Linked DNA regions of Mytilus edulis. The main gene of each other region encodes a partner of the protein of the gene in region 2 in a complex. Links are inferred from orthologs where the notes say so. Each region holds a gene or a part of one and is shown on either strand. Other genes may lie near its edges.

Evidence for each region.
Region 1: integrin alpha-8-like (region 2) and scaffold protein ILK-like share a complex: the UniProt entries of both Caenorhabditis elegans proteins name them as parts of the integrin containing attachment complex. The link is inferred for Mytilus edulis from reciprocal best matches to the Caenorhabditis elegans genes pat-2 and pat-4.

What each region holds. Positions count from the first base shown.
Region 1 is NC_092351.1:71,741,324-71,749,391, reverse strand, and holds the start of scaffold protein ILK-like, read right to left. Parts: upstream 3,261-8,068; 5' UTR 3,113-3,260; coding exon 3,024-3,112; intron 1-3,023. UniProt on the Caenorhabditis elegans protein: Probable pseudokinase that acts as an adapter protein. Component of an integrin containing attachment complex, which is required for muscle development and maintenance.
Region 2 is NC_092345.1:85,189,571-85,196,961, reverse strand, and holds the start of integrin alpha-8-like, read left to right. Parts: upstream 1-4,221; 5' UTR 4,222-4,507; coding exon 4,508-4,752; intron 4,753-7,391. Other genes in the region: uncharacterized protein, read left to right, coding at 280-350, 950-1,076, 2,200-2,256. UniProt on the Caenorhabditis elegans protein: Required for muscle development probably through the regulation of the actin-myosin cytoskeleton. Component of an integrin containing attachment complex, which is required for muscle maintenance.

The sequences.
Region 1 (8,068 bases), on a different chromosome or scaffold from region 2:
ATGTCAGGGCCACTTTTCATAATTTCCCTAATTTGCATGGATTTATATAAAAATAATTACATTGGTGAATTGTGCAGCATGTGTTGATATAGCATTTGAGCATTAGTAAACCTCTAAAATATATTTTCTATTGAATTTCATATTATACATGTACTGATTTGACTGTTGTTAAGAGTGGAGAAATATTGCAATACACAAGTTATAGTGGTGAAATCTTTTTCTCTCATGATCTTTATCCTTCCTTTTTAAAAGATTTGTAGAAAGTTGTGTACTTTTTATGTGACGTCATCAGATATTGTTGTCTTTTTTCATGACCTCACAATTAAATTTCATTCTATCATTTGCTTAGAACAGACAATCAAGATAAATTTTGAAAATTGCACAAAATTAGAGAAAACAATATCTCTTTTATGTATAATCAGAAACTACAAGAACAAATTATTCACATTGACACTACAGGCACAATATGGATATATAAATGGTTTCATAATTATTATACATGTAACAGGCTATTATTTGAACTTGGAATTATTTTTATCATAGAATTTGCATAATTTCTCGTGTTTAAATTTTTTAATAAATTCCATGTTTATTTGGTTTTATGATGTTTTGAGCGGTTCATAGCATTTTCCATACAATGTATTTTGGTTAGATAGTGTTGTGCGCGGCACAGTACATTCTTGTGAAAATATACTATTTTCTTTGTAATAGAAAGTGTTGTGCGCAGCACAGAACATTATAGTACAAAATATACATGGAATTTATTAAGAATTTCAATAACAAGAATTTAAGCAAATTCCATAATTAAAAATAATTCCAAGTTCAAATAATAGCCTGTTATGTATAACATTGTATGCAAATGTTTTAAGAGAGGTATGGGTACAGTGTTGGATAAACAATAGTGATCATAATTTCAACTTATTTCTTCTCTTAACCTAAATTACATGTATGCATCATTTCCTTAGATTAGTACACAATTTCAGGAAATGCTACATTAACATTAAAACATGATAAATAAAATATTATAATATTATTGAAGTTTGACATGAAAGGTTGTCATATTTTTTTAATGACGCCTTTCCTGTTGCTATTTTCCCCACTTTAATACAAAAGACTTATAAAAACAATGCAAAAGTTGTGAATTAACAATACAGCTTTATACATGTAACATGCACAATTCAAAACATGAACATGCAAAATTTTCTTTTCTTGCTTCGCAAATGAGAAGCCAATTTTAGAAAAAAAAAATTTAAAGAAACTTTAAAGTTTATTTTATACATGTTATGTAGTCTTGACTTTTATCTTCATTTCAAAACAACTTGAAAGGTTAAGAAAAACCAAGATAACAGGATAACTTGTTAAGATAAAACTATAAATGAGCTTATATTTTAATTGCAAGGATCCAGCTGACCTGCATAAGCTAGTCAGTAAAATTTTGAACTGAAGAATAGGGTCTATCATCATGATCATGTCCATTGGCTTCATTAAAATGTCCATTATTAATACAAAGCTTATCAGTAGCTGCTTTCTATCATTGTACACTGTGCGACCAAGTCAAACCGGTACGTTATATATCAGTATATATGGTCGGATTATGTTTCTGTGTGTAAAAGAGAGTTGTTCCCCTTTTGCCAGTATTTAGTATTTATGTTTGTGACGTCATCTTTGTCTGATTAAAATGTAGAAATGGAAGCTGATGTGTTTTTATGTGTCTGTATGTAATCGCTTACATCCATGCTACCAGAGCTATTCCCCTAGTCCGTAATAGGTATTTGAACATGATTCACAAATACAGCTGAATTATAATTATCTTAATTTCATTCAAATATTGCAGAAACCAATTTATTGGTAAATTTCACTAATGAAGATAAACTGATGAATATCGATAAAATATTAATTAATGCATAGTTTAGTACATTTTATTAGTCATTCTAATGCTACAACGCTTGTAATGTTCATTTTGATTGGATAACGTCACTTATTTACTTGGGACGTACGTGCAAGCGCAGACAGCATATAACATATTTTAATTAATGTTTAAACTTTGTTTTCTGTCAGTTATAAAGACTATAAAAAAGTCTTCATTCAAGAAAATAAAGGAATTGAAAAATTTGGTACTGCATCAAACAAGACATTAATGTGGTGTAGTCCTATTACAGATATTATTTATCACATTTTAAGTTATGGAATTACATTTTTTGTAAGAATACATGTACAATATACATGTAAATGAAATATAAAGTACAAAATGTATTAAACCAATTCAAAAATAAAAAAATTATCAAACTCCTGTTTTTTTATTTAATTGTATTGCCGAGCTTTTTTTCATGAATTATTATAGTTAATTGATTGACTGGCTAAACAAATAAAAATGCTATAACATGATAACATTTAACCTTAAAAAAATAATAAGCCTCTTTATTTCACACTTTAAATTATATCATCAAAATTCCATACAGCAAGTGGTTGTAAACAGATGCATATTTCCTCACACTAACATTCTTGTGTAATGAGAGGATATACTGATAACTTCTGTCATAAGTGAGATAGTAGAAATACTACTGCTCATTCATAACAGTCAATTTACAAAATAACTCCCCAAAGGAAGCATAAAATGATATTTAAAATTATAAAAATCAGTTTAAAATATTACTTAAAACAATATTGTATTATTGAAATCTAAATGTTTACAGAGACTAAGGTATAAACCACTTAAAGTTTTTAAAATAATTCATGATTAAAGTTTATAGTTGTTGTTTTAAAGCATCCCCTACATGAACCCCTGTGTTAACCATATCCTTGTAAGGAATTTGCATAACCCAATCAACATCAGTGGGAATCTGAATCACAAATGGGGGGACCTAAAGGGGCATTTTCATACCATTTCAAAAATATACATATTTTAAAACTGAAATTGGTTGCAAATATATAGATTTTCCAGTTTTCATAGACAATATGTAAATTGAAATGTTATTAATAGTAGAAAGCTGTAAATGATCCTGAAACATGCAATATTTCCTTACCCCTGATTCAGATCGTTTTCTGTGTTATCAAGCCAAACTCGCACGTGAAATGCATTTCCTTCTCGCACCTGAGTAAAAATATCTTCCATACTAAAATATTGTTTGACTGTTTATCTCGATTGAAGGACAAATGTTTTAAAAAGCAGTAAAGTCAATGTAAACAAACTACAGTGGCCAAGCCCCTAACTCCAACCGGGCTTGGTTTAGATACGATAGCCGATAGTTCTACAAAATAATACAAATCAAGTTATTTATCGATCACACATAATGCCTTTAAATACGTGTCCATGCTAATTTTCAGCCAATTCTTGTTGAACTTTTTAAGAAAAAACGCTCATTTATGTGGATCTTCCCATCCCAAAACTGGCCTCCAGATTATAGAAAGTGTATCTGAAAACCAAGTAAATATTGCACAACGAACCTCAAAACAAATCAGTCGATGTTAACTGTATACAAGTAAAACGGTAAATTTTGTTAGATTAATCTATTAAATAAAAAAATAAAGATGAGTACAACTGGTTAGATGAGTAAATCAAGTTATTCTGTGATAGTATCCCATGTAACCAATGTACATCCATGAGTGTTTCTTCTTTTCGGTTATCATATTTTCGAATCCATGATATCTCGGCCTATAACAAAATCGGACTATAACAAACTCGGCCTATAACATAATCGGCCTCCCAAAATCGGACTATAACAAACTCGGACTATACCAAACTCGGACTACTAGAAGAATATTAGTATAATGTTGGTTGTTGTTGTTATTGGAAATTAAATATCAAACTAAATATATCTTGTCTTGTCTATAACTGAACTTCAGTTGTTTTTTGTTTTGTTTTTTGTTTGATTACTAAGCTTGTGTTATTATAAGAATGTTCAGTGAATTGTAGTTTTTTTTCTGGTTTCTGATCATACTATGTATGGTGGAGTCTTGGTGTGATTTATCTGTACAATGTAATACTATTTAATAAGAAAACATAGGGTTTACAAATTTTATTTCAGTAGATGTCAACAAACAATTAACATAACAATGATTGCGTCATTCAGTAATATCTAATGTTACTTACGAAATATATAAGACATATATAAAACACATAAAGCACATTTTAAACTCAAAGGCATTTTGTCATCATCTATAAGACTGAAATCATGCAGATATAAATGGTCATTGTCATAGCACACTTAAAGCATACATAGCACATTTAAAACACACATAGCACATATAAAACATACAAAACATATACATATCAAATATAGAATTCTGAGTCATATCTGAGATAACATGCAAAAATGAATGTTATTGTCAAGGCAAAAGCACGAGTATAAACATAGGCAGGAGTAATTAACAAAAAAAAAAATTTTCTAGGTAGTGTAAAAAAGAAAACTATCGTCCGTCAGCAGTGCGATACCTTTTCCGAAAAAAAGTCATATTGTGCAAATGAAATAACCGATTTAACCAATGATTTGTATAGTAACAAATTACAATACAAATCCTTGATTTAACAGATTATATTCTTTTAATATTGGTTCATCATATTTTATAAATTCAAATTAAATTATTTTATTCAAGAAAACTCACAAAGAGCATAAAATGAACAATATAAATGCATATGTACATAAATATTGAGAAAGAGTTATAGCTGACAAAGAGATCTAATACACACATAAAAAAGGAAATATTATATTATATGGTATGATAAATATCAAGGGAGACAACCCTGTTCTTATGTAAATACTCTATTAAGTTACCATATCCATACAACAAATCAGTTTTGTAAAATATACTCAAACTTAGAAATCTAGATATATTTCTACATACATTGGCATGTTCATTACTCATAAGCCAAATAAATTTGTTATCTGTGTAATTCATTTATATGTCTAATTCTTATTGTATTTACTATACCTATACTAACAAACTTTCAGAGAGCAATGTGGTTTTGGAATTTTGTGGTAATACTTAAAAATTGAAAACCCTGCAGATAAAATTACAATACTTGATTCGTTCAGATTGGGAAAAAAAGCTGAAAAAAAGAGACCAATCCTGGTAAAGTTTGCAAATTTTGAGATGCGGGATCTTGTAAAGAAAAGTTCAAAGAATTTGAAAGATTCACCTTTTGGAATTTCTGAACAATTACCATTAGAAATACAAAAACGTAGAAAAGAAAAATTACCACTACTGAAGGAACTGCGCTCCAGGGATATCAAGGCATATTTTGTGAAGGACAAACTTTTTGTGGGTGGTAAAGAGTATACATGTCCCATAGGGGCAGCACAGGGAACAATTGAACAATTTAAAATGTTTAAGTTGGAATGTACATGGTTTAAATTCTTGTTATGAAGACAATGGTTTTTTGAATTTTGTAAATACTTACGAAATTTTGTTTTTATGTGAAACTTGGTTACAAGAGAAAAATATTATAGAAATAGAAGGTTTTGTGAAACTTATATGTTTAAATAGAAATGTTAAAATTGGTACTCGAAGTGAAGGTGGATTAGCTATTTTTTGTAAAACAAAGTTATCAGATGGTATTTCTATAGATAGAGAGATAGACTGTGGCATTGTTATAATTAAACTGAATCATGAATTTTTTAATACTGCAAATGATATCTACATATGTTTTTCTTATATTCCACATGAAAAATCAATTTTTTATAACAAATGTGATGTTGATTTTTATGATATTATAGAACGTGTTTGTTTAGAGTATAAAGAAAAAGGTTCATTTTTAGTGTGTGGCGACCTAAATAGTCGTATTGGTGAAATTGATGATGTTTTATCAAATGATAACTTAGATCTGTATTTAGAAAGTGTAGACCACGTGGAAACCTCGATTGTTCCGAAAAGGCACTCCGTAGACAAAACCGTTAACGCATTTGGTCGAAAACTTTTACAGTTATGTTATAATACTGAACTTACTATTGCTAATGGAAGACTCGGAAATCGTGTTGGAAAATTTACATTCTGTACAATGAATGGAAGGAGTGTCAACGACTACCTACTTATTTCACCTAGCGATTATAAACTTATTAAGAATTTTGATGTGCTGAATTTCAACGAATTTTCTGATCACGCACCATTATTATTTGAACTTGAATTCCGAAATTTCAGACCGGAGTTATCGTTTCCAAAGATTCGCAATTACATAAAGTGGGATATAAAAAGATCTAATGAATATATAGATATCATACAACAAGAACAAAATAATTTATTGTCTTTAGTGAATAACATTACCAATACAAATAACTTAAATCATGCTGTTAAGGAATTTACAAACATCTTATTTGATCAGATTTCTTCCCTTGTATGATTGGAGTTCGTCAGGGTGAAAATCTTTCCCCTTTTTTGTTTTCCATATTCTTAAATGACTTAGAAGATTACTTTAGAGAACTTCATGTTTTACCTTTAGAATTAATTAAAGAAAAATGTTATAATGAATTACATGTATTTTTAGAAATTTTTGTTTTGTTGTATGCAGATGACACTGTTATTTTTGCTGATAATTATGATGAAATGCAAAATGCTCTCAAAGTTTTTGAAAACTATTGTAAAATGTGGAAACTTAGTGTGAATATTGGTAAAACTAAAGTGATGGTTTTTAGCAAAAGAAAATCGAAAATGGATTTTGATTTTAAACTTGATGGTACATCTCTTGAAATTGTAGATAGCTATACATATCTTGGTCTTTTGCTTAATTATAATGGGTCATTTGTTTGTGCAAAGAAAAAGCTTGTAGAACAGTCGCAAAAAGCACTTTTTGCTGTTTATACAAAGATTAGAAATTTACATTTACCTATTGACCTACAACTTAAATTGTTTGATTATCTTGTCGAACCTATTTTATTGTATGGATCAGAAATATGGGGATTTGAAAACATTGATATAATTGAAAAAGTTCATCTACAATTTTGCAAGAGAATTTTAAATGTGAGATCAAGTACTCCAAATGTTATATATGGAGAATTAGGAAGGTTTCCACTAGAAATTAAAGTAAAATTAAGAATGTTATCGTTTTGGAGTAGAATGGCTAAAAATGAAAAGAAACTTAGTAGTTCTATGTATAAGCTTATTTTCAAATTACATGCTGATGGTATTTGTGAATTTAAATGGGTGTCATTTGTAAAATCTATATTTGACAACTCAGGATTAGGTTATATGTTTTTCAACCAATACATTGATTATTCAACTTTCAAACCCGTTATAAAACAGATTCTTCAAGATCAGTTTCTTCAAAAGTGGTCCAGTAATATTGATAACTCGTCTCGTGGCGAATATTTATAGTATAACTAATCGCCGTATTTGAATATCAAAAATAAGACAACGCGTGACCGAACGACGCATGGATTAAACGAGTGCGCAGCACGAGTTTAATCCATAGCGGTGTTCGGTCACAAGTTGTCTTATTTTTGATATTCAAATATGGCGATTAGTTATTCTTTTTATTACATTGGCAAATGGCTTTTTTTTTATGAAATTAATGTAGAAAATGTAAGGAACTATATCTTTTTCCTACGCATTGACAATTTGTTTTGATCCGACCTTATCGACGTCTTGACAACGCCTATTGTTGTATGACGTCAGAGAGTGAAATAACCACGTTTATTTCACATGTGAAATTATCGGTTTTATCTATTAACTGAGAAATCAATGTAATTCATTGCAACCAATGTAATAATATAAGTTATTTAAATCTCAGTTTGGTCTGGAAAATTATCTATTACGTCTTCCAGAGGATAAAAGTATCTGGATTTCAAAACTGAGAACATGTAACCTAAAAATTCCTATGGAAACTGGCAGATGGTACAACATCGCTAGAACAGATCGCATATGTACCTTATGTAATGAATCATGTATTGGTGATGAATATCATTATTTATATGTATGTAATAATAGTTCTATTACTGAACTTCGGAAGAAATATATACCGAAATATTATACAACATACCCATCTGTACTGAAAATGCAAAATATGCTGTCATTGTGTCACTGTCAGTTATTGTATAATCTAGCTATATTTATTAAGAAACTGTCTACCTTCATTTAG
Region 2 (7,391 bases):
GTTGTTAATTTCCAAATGTAAGTCAAGTTATGAGGCATACTAAACTGTATCTTGTACCCTTTAATTCAAGTTCAATGGGTTTAAAGCATTATAAGCTTCACTATATATTATATTTACACTTATTTTCTGTTAGTGTTAGTATAAAGTTTGTCAGTGGAGGCTTAATATTTCTTTAGTATTGTATTTTCAGATGTTTTCGACAACCTCTGTAATTCTACAACCCTTACGGGACCATGATATAGAGTCTCTGGCAGAATAATGCAAACTTTCCCTTTTCAGTTGTTCCAGTTGAAGTCCAAATACGTCTGTGATTCATCTGGATTATCTGTAGGCTCTATACTATGTATAGGGTAAGTTATTAATAATTCTTCATTTCGGGGTACGGATAGATAACATGTGTTTTAGAATATATATATGTATACACTTCTACATTATTGTCAGGTTCAGAGGGTATTAATAAATGTTTTGAAACGCACCTTTTTATTGTGAATTTATCAAAGTCGTCTTCGGCCCAATGACTGGGATAATTGGAGGAAAAAAACGAATGTCTAGTTCTTATATTATGATACTTTGATGGTTGAGAGATGTTAAATCAAGTTAAGGCACGATTATATAAATTCTGATTTTGAAATGTCGTGTCACTTTACCCTCTGGTATCTTTCGCCCCTCTTTTACGGACATGCATGTCCAAAGTATAAATAGCACGAGAAAAGACATACCTGTATATTTATACTGAGTAACATAAAAAGTTATATTTGTTAAGTGCTGCATAAATACAGTACTGCTTATGTGCAATTTTCAAAACGTTAACGCTGTAAAACTCGTGTGCTCTATTTTTCAATCTAATTAAAATATAGATCTCCCAATATATAGTATAACGCGAGCAGCTATCTATATTTGAATTAGATTGATCTATTTTGTCCTATTTTTATGTGGTTTTTTTTTGTAGGTTTGTATCTTTATTGTTTCTGTACATACTTATCGGAATACTCGTTCAAATATTTATACGTAAAGAATCTGGTAAACGAGTTATACCAAATCATGACTTTTGGGTTGCTGTACCAGTATATATAAAGGTAAAAATAATATGTTGTGTATATTTTTGTGACTTTGTCAACATTGGATATTTTAATCATTCGAAAGAGCATTTTTGAGGGTTTTTTTTCAAATTAAAGCTACTAGTATAAGATAAGATAAGATAAGATAAGATAAGATAAGATAAGATAAGATAAGATAAGATAAGATAAGAATTTTATTAATCTAATCAAGAACCCATAAAGGGCATCATTTTACAACAATATTATGACAATATGATTGAAAAAAGCAAAACAGAAAACTAATGCCATACCATATTGGTGAAAATAACGTATGGGAATTATTTCATGTACGCCTAAATGACGGTTATTAACCAATTTAACTGTGTTTTGCAATTATCTTTGGAACTATTATTTTGAAAGAGAAAAGTAAAGTTCATTTGAAAGATAACTTGAGTATCTACAAGTTATGAAAGTAGTCAATATACTTTCCGTTGGATGTGCTGTCCTAAAAAGAGTTGACCATACAAAATAAAATCTTATTGATCTGGATCAAACTGGTTGCAATCCAATGTGGTATATGACATCGCCATTGCCCCTATACTACTGTTGCTATAAAAATTGATGTTATATAGGTACCCTTCTATGTGAAATTTCCAGGCTCATTGGGGCCCGTTATTGTTTTACGGAAATTAGGCTTCGAGACGGTTTACTTGCTGAATATATACAAAGCTTCTGTATATAAAAAAAGTCAATTCAAACTGTTTCGCTTTTTTAAACTTGACACACTCAGGGCAAAGTTTAAATATTTTCACTGTATGTTGGTAAGAGGGTCATTTTGACCAATAAAGAAATTCATACCAGTAAGAGTTCTGGTCACTTGATAACTCTTCATTTTGAGTTGTATATCCTGTATAACTCATTGATTGAAAACCTTGCGTAGGCTTAGACAATCGTTTTACTCCTGTCACTTACATACGACAGACATAATGTAGTAGCTAATTGCTTCAAACATGTAAGTAATTAAAAAGGTATGATAGGGAATATTTGACCTTATACAAAAGTATTGACCTTATACAAAAGTATAAGTATTTCATATATATAAAAATGTACACCCTATTGTAATTATAGTTCATGAATTTACTGAATTTATACTTTTTTGTAGGATGGTACTCGTTTTGTTATTGGGAGAGGAAAAGTACGAACATACGATGCAATTTAATTTTATCTCGCAGTTTAAATCTATACAGTCATTATAGAATACTCATTTTTATTTTTGTATAACAGTTGTTTGTTCGTATGATAATAATATACATTTGTGTAATTGGTGAAGATGTTCTGCTTTATTCGGAGTTGTCCTTCGTTGATCGAAAAAAAATTCAATGCATATATAAGAGCCACACATGGATAGTTTTATGTCCTCTTATAGTACGTTTGTATTATAGTTATTTGTTTATGGAGATAACTTTTAGGCGTTGTGGAAATAAAGGCGATATTTCTATTATGCATGTTATTTCCGTTATGACTAAAATGGAGAAAAGAAAGTAGACAAAAAGATGAATTTATGGAGAAATGATTCATGTTAAATGTACACCCGTATGGAATCATCAATTAAATGAATGTATACTTGTTGGTTTTAAAGACTTTGTGTTTAACTGAATTTATTCATTTTATTCACGGTAGATTAAGTTTGAGTATATACAATTGATAGAAAAATGAGCAACATGGGTCAATTAAAAAACATGTATCGCATTCAAACGAATGAAATAATATTAAGCTCATGTAATACTACCATGATCCTACCCAGTCTATAAATTAGTGTCGTTTCTAGATTAAAAGTAAATATGGTCAATCAGAACAGTACAAACTAATAACAAGCAGGCATCGAAATTGAAACTAGCTTGTATGTTTCACTGACTACTTTCTTTAAAGACGACTGTAAAAAGATTCTATAGGGGTGCTAAGTCTCTCATCAGTTTGTTCATTTCTGTTGTATAATCATAAAAACAAGGAGATGAGGGTGGGATTGCAAATGAGCCAACTATCAAAATTAATAGCGAACAAAGGACAAGCATGTAAATAATTATGGGTCGACCAACATACGAGCTTCAACAATGAGCAAAAACAAATGCTGTAAACTATGTTATAAATGTCCCCGACATGACAATATCGTGAAAAAAAACAACCAAAAGGCGAAAACCAACTGTCTGATCTTTGGTAACTGCAGCGCTATTTTAGTATAAAATATTTTTTTGAAGCCATCAAATTACATATTACATCAAACTTGACTGATTTAATTCCAGTTTACAAATTTCAAAACTCCGTAGATGGTAGAATTCCACAATTCACTATTCACTCATGATTATTTTTGCAATAACTTACGTAATATAATGTTCAAACTTCAATAATACATAAAATTTTGTTTTTTAATCCTCCGTGTTAAAAAAAAACCCAATAAAAATCTTATATATATAGATATTTATCTAGCTGACACTTGTTTATATTAATGTAAAGGTATTTGGTGTTCACATTTTTTTCAATCGACTGCATCTCCAAAGTGATTGATATTAGCAGATCTGTCAAAATAAAAATAGTTAATTGTTATAAAAATACGTAATCATCTTACGAAGTTTTCAACAATCCTTTAATATCTTCCCGACGGCGTTAAATTTACACGAATTACTATTTTACAAACTTCCTTTTAACTACATAAAACACTCTTTCTGTTTTAATCTCTGTTCAGTGTACTTTAAAGGAGAATCAAATAAAACATACAAATTTCAAAAGTATGTTTTTTTTTTTATTTTACACTGAGTTTAATATTGTTTAAGTAAATGTTTAAGAATCGTAATATAAATACTTTTCTTTGTCAAACAGTGACAAAAGAAAAATGATAGCTCTGTAAATTTGACCAGAGAAAAACAAAAGTGAACAAAAAAACATTAAATCAATCAGTTAAATGTGTTGTGTCAATCCTTGTTGTGCCTTTCCAAAATGTCCATAATATATGTCTTATGTCTGTTATTAGGTTGGGTAACATTCAATTAATTATATTGGTCAACCATCTTCATAAATCTTTTTAAATCTAGGTCAAACGTGCAATTTACTGCTGGTCATTTACAAGGAGACGGAATCTCACATCAAATATAAAACTTCCTCTCACAAACTAATTCAAACAACAGCGGGAGCTTTTTTTTTTAATGATTTTATGAATGAGTCAGGCCAATTTCTATATTAGGATCTTTACACACACGGGGCAATAAACTCGTCCGACGTGCATCACTTTAACCTGATCACCCCCTGAAGGCAGTAATGGATCACTCTTACAAATGCCAATATCTTACATACACATACGATACCGTAGGAAGTTGTTGTTTAGTGTGTAGAAAACGATGAAATTATTATATGTGTGAAATTAAATACTTCTTCTTACAAAACAACTTTGGATAAAGTGATCACTTGGTTTTATAAATATGAGATTAACTAGTTATTTATTTCGTTTTAAAATGGATAAGGTATTTTTCTCAAAGTGTAGTTGCGGAAAAAATAGTTTTTTCGATGTTTCTGTGATAGTTTTGTTTGTGTGTATTTTTGGATATGCAATTCCTATAACTAGTGCCTTTAATTTGGATATAAAGAACGCTATAATTCAAAGAGGTGAAACTGGGAGTATGTTCGGATTCTCAGTAGCTCAACATCTCGACCAAAACACAGGATGGTAAGTTTTCACAAATTCTTTAAAGTTCACAAAGAAAAGTGTTGCCACAGTTACGAGAATAATCAATTACTAACTGAAGAGATGATATTTGTAGATGGTATTTCTAATGAAATATACATTGAAAATATTGTAATTACAAATAAAACTTGCAAGGTAAACTAATATGGATCGTAAGAGGTTGCTGCAATCATGTTCTTATCTAGTTTTATGTACTATACATGTAGTATGAACATTTTTGTTCAATCAGTACATAACTATAATCTGACGGGAAGACGAGGTTAAACGCTACACATGTTTTGTGTTTATTATTTTACAATTATCTTTTATCTCATCAAACATGTGTTATCTATGTGATGTAAACTTGGCTTAAAAAATCCTATGGTGAATCCCTAAGCGATCAGCAGGTGATCGGATTAATAGATCATTAATTGACTCTGGATAATATATATTCACGGATGACATCTACATGCTTTTGGTGTACTTAGGACCCCATTCTTCAATTTCTTTCAACCATTTACTTAATTGAAAAATTCAACTTCAAATGACACAGCATCTCTATTCACTTCGTTGTCATGTATCGTCTAATCTTGTTTTATAAATCTTACATATACAAACAAATGTACACGATTTTATATCAATGAAAAATAATCGTCAAAAACGTGTTAGCTAGATATTTACATTAATTTAGCCACGCTTATTTAAACAAAATAAACATCAAACTCTTTATAAAGGTCGATATATGTCTGTTTTGATTTTGTTATGTTTAACAGTTTCTTTTCTACGACGTGATACACGATAGCCTCCAGATATTGTCCATGCATAGATAAGTAATGATTGTAACCTATCAGTTATTGATGGATGAATAATTAAAGTAATGCTTCAATCTAAACTTTTAACCGAATGACCGTCTGGATACATTTTTTGTACATACATCAACATGATGTAAAATATGGATCATAGGCTTTTGCATTCCCCAAAATACTCTTTATTGCGGTGATGTAGTTGAAAAATAAGATCAGTTGAGTTCTACACTACCATCGTTGACCATAAGGCATAAATGTCAGTGTTGTTATTTTATGACTCTCTTAAAAGAACACTTTTAGGTTAAAAATTAGTGTATTTTTTCTTTTTTTGCATGGTAGTGTGGTGGCTATGATTTTGCATTATAATTGTTTAAAACTATTAAGTAAAGTTGATCACGTTTGTGAAATGAACTTGACAGGCTCGAGGAAGTTAAGTGATTATGTGATCCCTCCCATGATTATTTATTATCTAATCCAAACTAATTTATGACGACGTTGACTGCAGGCGCTCGACAGGACATTTTGACCTCCATGGGATAATTTGTCCGGAAACAGAACTATATTAGTAAACGCCCAAGCGTTATCTTGGGGATTTGACAGTCACCTAGGGAATAAACATGCACTAAAATTATCATATTTTAAAAATTTCTTCCATTCTGACATCGCTTCAGATACACATTTACGCATAATCTTACACATGGTTACCACATTTAAAATGAAGTCAACATCAGAACGAAACTAAAAAAATCCTTTGAACCATTATTTCAAAAAAAGATCTGACAATTTTTTTCATATACATATATGTCGTGTTTAAAGTACACAAGGTTTAACACTCAAGTGCATTAAAGATGTTTCACATGGCTTGTACCGTCAGAAAGCAGGTAATTTGAAATGAGTTAAGATCTTTTCCTGGAAAAAGTTGAAATTTTAAATAAAGTTCAGTCTGAGAACACAGTAATAAGATAAACATTACGTGTATTGATGAACTGGTAAACGCAATTACGTCAAATTTGATGGATGGATCTCCGGGTCGTGTTTACATGTCATACTAGAATATGGTGGATGCCAATCTTAATTACCAGATATAATTCGATAATATAAGTAACCACAGTACAATACTTTAACAATCCTTGTTGTATGGTTGTGTGGTTTATGGTCACCAAAAGATGATATATGGTCAATAAGTAAGTTACCAATGATCAGGTCTCTGATGTTTTTGTATCTTGCCTAGACTTGCTACATGTCCCTTCCTAATTATTATTATTTTTTCAATTTTGCCCCTTTAATAATTTTACTGCTATAACTAGGAGATTACAATTATACTGACATCTGCAGGAGGAAGGGACTTGTAAAGTTTGTCTGAGGCTTGACCAAACTGTTAATCTTAGAGTAATTAAGATTGACATTTATTGATAAGAATTTCAGATAACAGTTGGGAAGTGAAACTTGATATTCCAGTGTTGTGCAAATACTGTTTATTTATTTTCATTTTATAACTTACTAGAAAGATAAGGTCACTGAACTTATACATATGATCAAACATCACATCATTGTCAGAGTTTCTGTTGTGTCTAATGGCCGAAAGTTCTACTCCAAAAAAGTTTTTTAGATTTATAAAATTTACTCCAACAACTAAAAAAACTCTTTGTGTAATTTGTGGAAACAGAATTGAAAAATGTGATTACAGGAGAAAATTATTTCATGGCAGCATCAAATCTGAATACTGTATTCTTATTGAAAAATATCTGGAAATAAATATTACAGAAGAGACACATGCAGATACTGCATGTAGAAAATGTGTTAGAGAATTGCAAAAAATTGACAGTCTTTTCACAA